Callithrix jacchus: one gene and its partners. The protein of the gene in region 1 binds, or shares a complex with, the protein of each later gene. Links are inferred from orthologs where the notes say so. Each region holds a gene or a part of one and is shown in the gene's direction. Other genes may lie near its edges.

Region 1 (3,945 bases):
GCTCAGGTCCTTCCTCACAGGAGGCTGGGGCATGCTCAGCCATGCAAGACCACAGCTTTCAGCCCCGTGCTGTTTCCAGGGCACACTTACGGATGCTGAATGAGAGAACTTTCTAGATAAAACAGGTGACAGCAAAACAGCCATGTACACAGGTATCTTGTGGGAAACCCTTCCACAACCACTTTGAAACTGGGTGGGGAGAAGGACCTGACGCAGGGTCAGGCATCCTTTGGGGCCCATGGACATGTGTGGAGAGTTTGGGCCAATGCTTTTGTGTGATTTGTCAGAAGGCACGCCCACTTCTTCCCTCCTGTGAAGAACCCGCAAACTGGCCCCTGCACTCAGAGACTCACATAGGGCACATAGAGGGGACGACTGGATTTCTCCTTCGAGGCTTCGGCAAGGGGCACAGCATCCACACACCTCTGTAAAACAGCGTTCGGATAGGGCATCTCTAAGGCATTGTGCGACTCTGCCGGTCTGTGACCTTCCACACTGGGGTGGAGCATAAGGCCTTGGGATACAATCCACATCACGCTAAACAAGGACTTTCCCCTCAAAGTACCACACATTTCAGTCCCTGCAGACACGGGGCTCAGCAGCTTCTGTGAGGCAGCCCTGTTGAACCCAGGGCTGACCACGGACAAGCACTACTGTCCACAGAAGCCCGCGCCCAGTGGGGCCAGCCATGGAGGCTGGCAGAGGAGAGAGGCTCCAGGGGTCTCTCCATCGGAAGCCAGATCGCAGGCCACCTACTCTCCTACGCTCAGCCTGTACTTGGAAGCTTCTGGTTCTTGGCTGCACATTTGCTTTGTTTGAATCAATTAGCCCAAGTCTCTCTCTCTCCACCCCCAACCTTGCCTTCAGCAGAACATCAATATTCATGTAACAAATAAATAGCACAAAAAGCTGACTCCCCACTTCCTGCCCCACAGGCCCTTCTTCTTCCTCAGCCCGTGTGCAATCCTGGCTCCTGGCAAGTCCCCGGGCTGCTTGGTCAATGCAGCCCTGTGTGCCAGCCTGGCAGCCCTGCCGCCCCCACCCTCGGCCCCCATTGGCTGTCACAGCCTGCAGTGGGCTGCACCTGGGTTCATCCGTCCTCCCTGGGCAGAGGGGATAAGAGGTTGCCCCTGTGCACCAGTCCTGCCCTCCAGGACCGGCAGCAGAGACGAGGCCTGCAGCAAGGAGACAAGGAAGGGTGAGACGCGGAAGAGGTGAGAGAGCCAGGCCAGGAGGACGCTCAGGAAGAAATGGTTTTGTTTTGGGTGGAACAGGGTGGTGGAGGAGGGGTAGAAACTATCCCTTTAGGATAATTGGCAGCATTTCAGAAGGGTCAATAGCACGATGTGCTTTAATCTCCACTTCATTGCTGCTTTGTGGACACCCGACCGCACCAGCCCTAGACAGCCAGAGCTGTTTGCCTGTGTTTTGCCATAAATCAGAGAAACCTCAGCTCTCATGGTCCAGAAGTGATTGTTGACATTTTCCCAGTGATACTACAAACACTGCCTCTTCTGTAACGATTTGAAGAGCAAGGTTTTTGTTTCCCACTGGGGCTGAAAATGAGAGAGAATCTAATGCTAGTTTAGTCCTATATCATAAATAAATGCTTTCCTTTTCTCCCTCTTACTTCTTCCACCGCCCTGGGTAAGTAACTTCAGTTTTCCAGTTTCCCTCAGTTTAAAAAGCCAGGGTCCCCGCAGCCCCAGGACACCACTCAGAAATTACATAACAATTACAGATAAATTGGGTCCAAGAAAGTGGAGTTTTGGCGAGTTTTAACTTTCCTCAGTCTTACAGTTTCTCAGGGAGTCGAACCCCTTCTTTAGAGGGATCTTCACGCACTAGCTAAACTGTCGAAGGAGTTAAAGTTCAAATATTCTCTTGTTCTCAATATTAGAAGGTTAATGTAGAACATCTACAGAATGTAAGAAAGAAATGGATATTTATTTCCATTTATCTTACAAGATAAACTGTAAACCATCAACTGTTTCTTAAGTCAAAGGGAAAAATTTAACAAAAATTTTTTAATTGATTTGTAGTGTGGTTATGAAGAAAACCGTATTTTCTAGTGGTTTCTATTAGGGTTCTAATATATGGAATACATGTTTTATGCCTTTCCTTTGTAAAAATCCCATTAGTCATAATTCGCAGAAAAACAATTTAACCTCCTTTTCCCTAAATCATCACCAACTTTGAGGAGCATCAGAATGATGCAAAAGTGTATTTTGTTTTGTGTGGTTTTTTAAAATACACACACGCACACGCACACATACACATCAATAACCGAACATTTTAGTGCAAAGAATAAGAAAACATGAAATGCTAAAAAATTTTAATCCCTCTTAGCTGTTCTATTTGTGAAGTATACTGATTATTAATACAATGACTTTAGCAAAGATCTGGCCAGTATAAAAAAATCTCCAGTCCTGTTTCCTTTGGAGGATCAGAAATAAATAAAAATTTTTACATCTAATTCCAAATTATTTTTAAGATGTAAGTGATCTATTCAACATAGGAATGATTTTTGATAATATTTGATTTATTAATTTATTTTTAATTATAACAGTGCAAATGTTCTCATTTAATGATTAGAATCCGAGGCCAAAAGCTGGTAAATCTCTCTGCCTGCGCGTCTGTTCAGTGAAACAACTGACAAGGCATCCTTTGTAAAATGCGCCTCATTCCCAGACTGACCAGGTATTTCCTTGGTTTGTAGGCTGTGACGTACGGTACTTGCTGTGAGGGAGCAGGAGGGCTCTTACTGAGATTGCGGCAGAGAAGCATATTCCTGTACCGTCCCAGTTACCGCAGTGAATGAGCCACCATTTCCCTGCACGGGAGGTGGAATGCTTGCTCAGCAGCTCAGCTTTCTGCTGGGTTCTGTCCTTCCCTGCGACAGAACCACACCCATTTAATCAATTAAACTTAAGATACATTTTTTTTTTTCCTGGTAGGTCAGTTACCTTTTATTGTTATTCTTCAAAAAGATCGTGGCAATTCTACCATATTTATTTGTCCTGATGAATTTTACAGCTGTTTTTGTCATGTCACCCACCCAAAAAATTCCATTATTTTTATTAAAGATGATTTAAATTTACATTTGAATTTAAAGGAAAAAGTTCCTACGTTTTATGTTTCTCAGAATCTCTTGGAAGCACCTGCATTTTTCCTCCTAAACTTACTCCTACAGCACCTGTCATTGCTATATGAAAAGGGTGTCTTGCACTGTATTCTCTACTTCTTTATTGATAGAAAAGAGGAATGCTGTTGATTTTTGTCTTCTTATTTTGCTCCTAGTCACCGTCTCACCAGCTTGCAGTTCATGCTTTGCTCACCTGCACTCGACCACCTCATCTTGGAGCTTTACAAGGACAGAGAGGGACCCTGCGGGAAGCAGAAATTAATCCCTGAATTCCCTTTCTGCTCTGCCTCTGTATTTTTGCTGAAGTTTTCCCATTCACCCAACCCAACCAGAAGCCAGAGGGCATGGGAAGATATCCCTGTGGCTCAGAGGGACAGAGAAGGCAGGCCCACATGTGTCTAAGAGGCAGGTGGGAGGACTGTGATGAAAGCACAAATTTCCTGAATGCCCTTCCAGGCGTTGCCTGCTGCTCTGAGCTTGAAAAGAATGCAAGGCCAGCCCATCCCCCTTGTCTGGGTTGAGGTCTGTGTCGATAACACACGAAATGCTTACGATGAGGTATAGATGAGAAGGCATCTTTCCTTTGTGAGCCCCTAGGATGTCTGAGCTGGAGAAGGCCATGGTGGCCCTCATCGACGTTTTCCACCAGTATTCCGGAAGGGAGGGAGACAAGCACAAGCTGAAGAAATCCGAACTGAAGGAGCTCATCAACCATGAGCTTTCCCATTTCCTAGAGGTGAGTCTTGCTTTTTAAACTTGACACTTTCCCCATCTCCTCTTACAAAGCCACTGTACACTGG
Region 2 (4,111 bases), on another chromosome or scaffold:
CCTGGAATAGTCCAATGCCTTCCCCAACTATTTTGTTGTTTGGCTTTTGGTTTTTTTTGTTTTTGAGTCTTGCTCTGTCGCCCAGGCTGGAGTGCAATGACTCGATCTCGGCTCACTGCAACCTCCCCCTCCAGGGTTCAAGCAATTCTCTTGCCTCAGCCTCCCAAGTAGCTGGTACTACAGGCATGTGCCACCATGGCTTGGCTAATTTTTGTATTTTTAGTAGAGAGAACTTTCTCCATGTTGGCCAGTCCGGTCCCGAACTCCTGACCTCAGGTGATCCTCCCACCGAGGCCTCCCAAAGTGCTGGGATTACAGGCCTGAGCCACTACACCCAGCCCCAGCTGTTCAATGTATGTTTGTTTAGAGTAGTAGGTGAGCTTCCTAGAACAGAAGTTTGTCTTATTGAAATAAATAGTTTTGGAGTACAGGTGGATTTTTGGTTACATGGATAAGCCCTTTAGTGGTGATTTCTGAGATTTTAGTGCAGCCATCACCTGAGCAGTGTACCCTGTTCCCGGTATGTAGTCATTTATCCCCTCCCCAATCCCCAAAGTCCATTTTATGCCTTTGCACCCCCAGAACTTAGCTCACCCTTTTAAGTGAGAACATAGGATATTTGGTTTCCTATTACTGAGTTACTTCACTTAGAATAATGGCTTCCAGCTCCTTTCAAGTTGCTGCAAAAAATATTATTTCCTTCTTTTTTATGGCTGAGTAGTATTCCATGGTGTATATATACCACATTTTCTCTATCCCCTCGTTGGTTGATAGACACTTAGGTTGGTTCCATCTCTGCAATTGCGAATTGTGCTGCTATGAACATGCATGTCTAGCTTGCTTTGGGGGAACCTCAACACTGTAACCCCGGAGACTAACACAGTGCCCCACACCCCGTTGAAGGACCAAAAAATATTTGTTGGATAAATAAGAAATATATCAAGAGCAATCTTTCAATTATGGAGCGGGTTGGGTGTGTGTATTTTAATGAAAGCCGACTATTTTTTCTAATATTTGAAAAACCAATGTTTAAAAAGCTTCTATTGCACACCTTTTCACATTTTAGCTAGCAGAGTTCAGGACTTGATGGAAACATAACGAAGGGCTCAGAATGTACTCATCGCAGACTGAGCCCATATGGTCACTGGTGGGGAGAGAAAGCTAGCAAACCTATGCAGGTGGCCCTGGGAGACACCGTCCCCCGCCGGGCCACCAGGCGCCCGCGCACGCGCACGCGCACAGCCGCGCTCAGGCTCTGAGGGCCGGTCGAGGGAGGCGGGGCTCCCGGGGCGCGTGCGCGGCGGCCTGAGCGGCGGGCCCCTCCCTTAGCGGGGGTGCGCGGCGCGGAGGACCGCACGGAAAAGGGGAAGTCAGGTGGCCGCCGCCGCCGCCGCCGCCGCCGCGGTTTGTCGCTAGAAGGAAGATGGCGGATCTGGAGGAGCAGTTGTCTGATGAAGAGAAGGTAAGAGCCGCGGGGGCGGCGGCGCGGGCCTTCAGGAGCCGGCTCAGCCCTGGCTTGTGCGCCCGGAGTCGGGTCGCTGGGGAAGCATTGGCCCGCAGCGGGCGGTGCCCTCGGCTGCCCTTCCTCCCCCCTTCCTCACTGCGCCCAGTGCCTGCCCCCGTCCGTCACCCGAGGCCCCGCGCGGGGGCAGGTCTCAGCCAGGCCTACTCACTCCGCTCCTTGTAGGGTGTGTGCTCCGAAAATAGGAAAGGGGAGCCAGGCGGCGGCGGGCGGGGGCGGGGGCGCGGGCGCCGGGGAGGGCGGCGGCCGCCCGGGACCCTCTCCTGTTACCCGGCCGCGGGGCCTGCGCCGGGAGCTGGGGGCCGGGGGCCGGGGACCGGGGACCGGGGGCGCAAAGGGGTCTGCGTCCCGGCTTGGGAGCGGCCCAAGGGCAGTGCCCAGAGCGGCAGCCTGGCCTGTGAGTGTAGCGGCGGGTGAGGGGAAGGGAAAAATTGCTTAGGAAGCAGACCTTCAGTTCTCCCTTCTACTTCCCCCTCCCCAAAGCAAAATGCTTCCTTTTCTGATTCTCTACGTTTTATGCTTTTTTTTTTCCTTTCCCCATGGAGGCCTGTCTCTCTCCCGCCCGCCCGCCCTCTCACTTCGTGGCTCTAGCTTTAGGCTTTGCAGCTCCCATGTTCCTCAAGAGGCAGTGGAGTTGCTCACAAAAAGACGACCCCCTCCCCATAGTTGTTTTCTATCCACGTTGGCAGCAGCCCCCCCGGGGGGCGATTTGATGGCACCTTACCTTCCTGCTAGGACTTCTTCCGAAGAGGGGAAATTGTGCAAGTCCTTTTACTGTATGTTAGATGCTGTGACAACACTGGAACCAGGTGAACGACATAAGTTCTCAGATATTTAAAACGAGAAATCGAATAATTCATTGAACTGTTGCTCTTTTACACTCTCCTTTCCTTTGGCTTTTGCGAACGTCCGGTTCCCGAGGGTAGTGGGGTAGGGGAGAACTCTGCTAATTTTGACAGTTTCTCGGAAAGGAACCTGAGGTTTCTCAAACTTAGAAGTACTCCCGAAGTAACTGACAGACACGAATGAGTTAGTTGCAGGGTTGGAAATGCTCTTTAACTCTTCGTTAAAGTGTGCTTCATTTTTAAGTTCCAAAGCTGTATAGCCAATGCAGGAAAATACAAGTACCTTTAGGTACGTTGTGGTGGTTAACAGATCCTCACGTAAGTTTGAGGATATTTTCAATTTGGACCCTCTGCTCTAGATGTTTTTATATACTGTATTCTTGCACTGAAAGAGAAGGTTCCGTCCCATTCCCGATGTGAATGGGCAGAAGTCAATCTCATCTTTATTTTGGAAATATTTTTTCCTCTTGTGCTCTTTGGTGAAAGTGATAATACAGCAACAAAATGGGGGTGAGCAACATCTCCATAACCCCCAGTAGGCAGATCCCTGTATCCAGAAAAGTTGCTGTGCAGTATTCACGTCTACAGTCTTGGTAAATAACCCAAAGTAGCTGTCCGAAAATGCACTGGAGTGCACAAACACATATTTAAAATTGAGTTGTGCTAAAAAGTTTAAAAAGAGATTGTCACGTTTTTATTTTACCATTCTTAAGTCGTAATTAGTAGTTGCTCAAGTGGCTAGAAATTTAGCTGAAGAGAGAATACTGTGTGGGAGTTAATATAGACCTGCCATGTGTTGTAAAGGCCTAAAATTAAAAAGCTTTTAAAAAATGGGTTTACAAAATTCCTTATTATCCAGCAGTCTCAGGGCACTAAGCTTCATGAGGAGGAGTGAGGAGGTTGTGTGTCTTCAAGCTTGCGCCGCCTACTAGCAAAATGTTTTATGGGTAAATTAGTGAAAATTCTAATTTGATTTTTGGTGTTTTGTAAGAATATTCTGTAGATATTATACATATAAATTTCATCACTATATTTACTAATTAAAAAACTGACAGAACTTTTGGGGTAAATGCAAGTAACCAGTTAAGTGAAATTTTAACGTTCTTGTCACTTTAGATATCTAAAGGTATTTTTCATTTTGGGGTGGAGGATGTGTCCAGTATGGGATCAGAAACAGAGAGGACTTGAAAGTGATATATTAATATTTCTCTTTCTACCGTCTTTTTGGTAATTTTCAAAAATAAGTTCTCAAGCTGGACACAGTGGTTTGCACCTGTAATGCCAGCTACTCTGGATGCCAAATGCGGAGAATTGCTTGAGCCTAGAAGTTGTAAACCAGTTGGGCAACATAGTGAGACCTCATCTCTAAAAAATAATAAGTTTTAAGTTTTCGAAATTTCCATTCTAGATTGCAAATCTAAGAAAGGGAAGCTGTTAAGATGTATCTAGTACTATACTTTATATATGCTTGGCTGAGTTAGATACATTCATTACTTAATTTGTTTTAAGAGGTAGTTGTCCTACTACCATTTCACAGATGAGTAGAGTGAAGTTCAAAAGCTTTTAGTAGGCCGGGCGCGGTGGCTCAAGCCTGTAATCCCAGCACTTTGGGAGGCCGAGGCGGGTGGATCACGAGGTCAAGAGATCGATACCATCCTGGTCAACATGGTGAAACCCCGTCTCTACTAAAAATATAAAAAATTAGCTGGGCGTGGTGGCGCGTGCCTGTAATCCCAGCTACTCG
Region 3 (4,140 bases), on another chromosome or scaffold:
CATGCCATTTTCTTTCTTTGAAATCTTTAAACTACAGATGTGCTCATCTTCCTGGTCCGGGTGTGAGTTCTCCCAGCTGGGCGGGACTCAAAGTGATGACTTTGAAGGGATCCTACCAGTGGTGGGGCTGTACAGAAATTATGTATCCTAATCTGAGAATGCACTCTTGTGCCCTCATACCTGAAGCTTACAGTTTGTCAGGTGGCTTTTCCACGGAAAAAACGAGGACAGAAGAGAGAGGGCGGACCTTAGGAGTTCTAGGGAGGAGCCAGCCGGTAGCGGCAGCAGGTTTGACAATCAACTGCAAGGTTGCAGCCCAAAAGAAAAAGAACGCACTTGGTCACGCATCGTCGACTCCTCAGAGTCATAACTACCGAGAATGTCTGCCCTTTGGCTCTTGCCCACAACACCTTTCCTGGCCCCCAGCCCTGCCCCAGAGGGTCTGGTCCGCTCACCCGCTGCCAAATTCTCACACAGCCTCAAAGGGATCCTCAGAGCGTAAAGCAGTCCCAGTCCCGCCACGAACCACAACGAGGCCCCAGTCCCCGCCAATCTGGCCCGCAGTCGCTCCCTCCAGCCCAGAGTCGGATTTAGGCCGAGAACAAGTGCAGGACACGTTCCAGCAGCCTCGGCTTCCGCCAAACAACCAGGGTCCGCCATCTTGCCGCTACCGCAGGCGCCGGGAGCTGGGAGGGGAGGACAGGAAACCGGGAGTCGGGAATCCTGGGATAGTGGCGGACCTTCAGTTGGTCTCTGTGAAGGCTGAGTCCTGGGGAACCGGGACCGAGAAGATTTCGAAGGTGGAGGAGCGTGTCCCAAGATTGGGACTACATATTCCTTCGTGGGGCAGGGAAGGGGCGGACAGCAATGCCTGTTCTGGAGGACTGGACTGAGATGTGACCCCAAAGTGAAGTGTTAACTGCTTCCAAGCGAGATGAGCGTCACCTTTCACACCCCTGCCCCCCCCCCGGGGTTGGAAAAGCCACGGATCGTTCCAACGGCCGAGCAGCTCTTAGAGCTTTGGACTCGGTTGTCAGGAAGATAAACGGGTACCGGAAAAACTTATAGAAGCAGCAATAGCTACTTGGATGGAGGCCAGGAGCCAAGAAAAATGGAAACACGCTGCCAGCGCCCATCAGATGGATGAGGAATGAGAAAGATATTAGACTTCAGATCGCCGAAGGCAAAGCTGACTTCCTAGGGCGCTGGCGCTAGGAGACGTCACCCCCGCGCATAACTGACATGGCGCCCTCTTGGTCGGCGTTTCCGGGCGGGTCCTTCCGACGGCCCCCGCGGTGATTCCATCACTCGGCTTCCTTCCCGGCCTGCCTCGCGCTCGCAGCCGGGCTGGGCCAGAACAGCCCAAGATGGCCGACTTCGATGATCGTGTGTCGGATGAGGAGAAGGTAAGGGGTGTCCGCCTCTTTCTCTTACCTCCTCCCGCGACAGGGAACAGGGGCCCGGCCGGGATGCGTTGGGAGCCTGGCAGTGTCTCCAGGAAAAAGAAACTTCTTGGCCCATGCTGACATACGCTCTCCGCAGTCGGGACGCTTCCCTTTTGCGGGGCTTTCCTCTGCCTCACGGTGGCCCCAGTTCCTCGTTCCTCGACTCTCCTTTCCTCCCGGGCCTAAGGCACAGCCCAGGGGCCTCCCTGCAAGGGAACAGACGTTTCCTTTATTGGATGGTGACTGTGGACTTTGTTCTGTAATCCTGAGCGGGGGTGACGGTTGTGTTGCGCCATACCATAAAGCAGTTGTTTTACCGCCTTTAGCAGTTGGGGCTCACCCCATCCCCCCATTTGTAGATACAAGTGGGGTTAGTTTAGGGCCAGTCACTTCCTGATCAGGATGGCCTCTTAACTTCCCTTTTGCTCCTCCTTCCTCAGGAAGTGATTTTGCTGTCACGACTCCTCGACAGAGAGAGGTCCCAAATGTCCACCTCACTACACATCCACTACTTTTTCTCACGTACTGTCGCCTGACTGATTCGATGTAATCTGTGAGCCTCAGGGCCTTTGCTTCAGAATTCGAACACCAGTCTTTCCCTGTAGACACATCCTTTTAACGATAATTTTTGAAAATTTTGTTTCTTGTTAACAAATCTAGAATCGCTGATGGATTTTCTTCGCCTCCAGAAAGGTTTTCTGTTAACACATAATAAACCTCATGTTAACACATTCAAGTCTGGACAAAGCATCCTGTCTTCTTTGATGCTCCACTGTGGAGTCTGATTAGTTGAATTTGTCAGTGTGCAATGTGTATACTGATTTCTTGAAAATTGTCTCAAATACAAGAGCACATTCTAAGTTAGGTGGACTAACTTTTCTTCTGACAGTTGCACAGTTTCATAACAGTTTGTCAGGTTTTTCAGTAAGTACATGATTTTAGGGCACATAGAACTTAGAGTGGATCTCACAAGACAACTTATTGCGCAAGAATTATTACATTTGTCTCGCACTGTGGCTATTAGAAAATGTGCCCCCTTGAGTACTCTGTAAATCCACCTGGATCTTTTTTAATAAGAAATTGGAATGGGGAGGGGACTGTTAAGATCCATAAGACCTCTGTACAAAATAACTTGATCAGCTACATATGGCATGCCATTTTAAAATGCTTAACAAGCCATCGAACAACAACAGCATTAGATTTTCTCTTATTTGGAAACCGATCTTCATAAATGTTTAAGATTTAGGACAAAAACAAAAACATTTATATATGAGCTTAGGCTGGAAATCAATCTATAATAAATTGTTCTAAAGGAAATAGTTAACAATTCAAATAAAAGTAAGCAAAAATACTGTTTCAGTAAAATTTCACAGTTTTTTTTTTTGAAACAAAGCGTTGCTCTGTCACCCAGGTTGAAGTACATTAGTGCAATCTTGGCTTGCTGCAACTTCTGCCTCCCGGGTTCAAGTGATTCTCCTGCCTCAGCCTCCCAAGGAGCTGGAATTACAGGCTTGCGCCACCATGCCCATTTAATTTTTGTATTTCTTGTAGAGACTGGGTTTCGTCTTGTTGCCCAGGCTGGTCTCCAACTCTTCGGCTCAAGCGATCCATCCACCTCAGCCACCTAAAGTGCTGGGATTACAGGCTTCGGCCACTGCACCCAGCCAAAATTTCACAAATAATTTGAATAATAAACTTTTCAGTTTATTGTGCCTTTGTGGTACACATTGACCAGTGTTGTTGGATTTTTGTCTTTGATACCAGGTTAGAATGCCTTTAATTAAACTTGGGAAAATATATTTTTTAAAGTGCCAATTAAGATGCCTTTAGATACTGACAGTGTTTTAATTAATAACGTTAATAGTCTTGGGTTGTTTTTATTTTGAGACAGAGTCTCATACTGTCACCCGGGCTGGATTGCAGTGGCATGGTCTCAGCTCCTTGCAACCTCTGCCTCCTGGGTTCAAACAATTCTCCTGCTGCAGCCTCCAGAGCCTGGGATTACAGGTGCATGTAATCCAAAACCTGGGATTACAGGTGCATGTAATCCAAAACCTGGGATTACAGGTGCCTGCCACCATGTCCAGCTAATTTTTGTATGTTTAGTAGAGACAGGATTTCACTGTGTTGGCCAAGCTGATCTCAAACTCCTGACCTCATGATCCTCTCACCTCGGCCTCTCAAAGTGCTGGGATTACAGACAGATGTGAGCTACCGTGCAGGTCCAGTCTTGGTTTGATAATAGCAGGTCTGGGACCAGTTTCCTCTTCTAGCATACTTCTTTTGTTGCCAAATATATGTCATTATTGCTTTTTATCTTTGTTACATTTTCTAAAGGCAGTAAACCTTTAGAAAATTTGGTGATAATGAATGGACTCTAATTTCCTTATAAATATTTCTGTAAAAGCTAGTAAAATCATCCATTCTCATAACTAACCACTGAAGTTTTTTTTTTAGTCACTTTATAAAGAGGAAGTTGGGTTTCGTTACCTGAAATGGTCATGATGAGCTGTCTAAATAAAACAGGAAGTTGAACGTGTAATAACTTTTAGAAATAAACGTTTTAGTTCTCTTTGAGTTCACAGTTTCTGAAAATGAACTTGAGCTTTTTAGTTACATGCTTAGCAAGACCAAGATACCATAACTAGGAAGCCTGAAATACGAGATGAACTACTTCTTTGGGTTCTTTTCATTG

What was found.
Region 2: the proteins of S100B (region 1) and CAPZA2 are in contact, whole or in part, in a crystal structure (PDB 3RM1), measured with the Bos taurus proteins. The link is inferred for Callithrix jacchus from reciprocal best matches to the Homo sapiens genes S100B and CAPZA2. Residues at the interface, in NP_001029727.1 of Bos taurus: Ile37, His43, Phe44, Leu45, Glu46, Ile48, Lys56, Val57, Thr60, Phe77, Met80, Ile81, Ala84, Cys85, Phe88; in NP_001013016.1 of Bos taurus: Thr267, Lys268, Ile269, Trp271, Ile274, Leu275.
Region 3: the proteins of S100B (region 1) and CAPZA1 are in contact, whole or in part, in an NMR structure (PDB 1MQ1), measured with the Homo sapiens proteins. The link is inferred for Callithrix jacchus from reciprocal best matches to the Homo sapiens genes S100B and CAPZA1. Residues at the interface, in NP_006263.1 of Homo sapiens: Glu46, Glu47, Lys49, Val53, Lys56, Val57, Thr60, Phe77, Met80, Val81, Ala84, Cys85, Glu87; in NP_006126.1 of Homo sapiens: Thr265, Arg266, Ile269, Asp270, Trp271, Asn272, Lys273, Ile274, Leu275.

Annotation. Positions count from the first base shown.
Region 1 is NC_133522.1:52,192,057-52,196,001, reverse strand, and holds the start of S100B (protein S100-B), read left to right. Parts: upstream 1-1,145; 5' UTR 1,146-1,214; intron 1,215-3,300; 5' UTR 3,301-3,743; coding exon 3,744-3,881; intron 3,882-3,945. UniProt on the Homo sapiens protein: Small zinc- and- and calcium-binding protein that is highly expressed in astrocytes and constitutes one of the most abundant soluble proteins in brain.
Region 2 is NC_133512.1:87,439,903-87,444,013, forward strand, and holds the start of CAPZA2 (F-actin-capping protein subunit alpha-2), read left to right. Parts: upstream 1-1,311; 5' UTR 1,312-1,423; coding exon 1,424-1,462; intron 1,463-4,111. UniProt on the Homo sapiens protein: F-actin-capping proteins bind in a Ca(2+)-independent manner to the fast growing ends of actin filaments (barbed end) thereby blocking the exchange of subunits at these ends.
Region 3 is NC_133508.1:150,580,645-150,584,784, forward strand, and holds the start of CAPZA1 (F-actin-capping protein subunit alpha-1), read left to right. Parts: upstream 1-1,340; 5' UTR 1,341-1,367; coding exon 1,368-1,406; intron 1,407-1,434; coding exon of another isoform or gene 1,435-1,521; exon of another isoform or gene 1,522-1,650; intron 1,651-4,140. Other genes in the region: ST7L (suppressor of tumorigenicity 7 protein-like), read right to left, coding at 456-660. UniProt on the Homo sapiens protein: F-actin-capping proteins bind in a Ca(2+)-independent manner to the fast growing ends of actin filaments (barbed end) thereby blocking the exchange of subunits at these ends.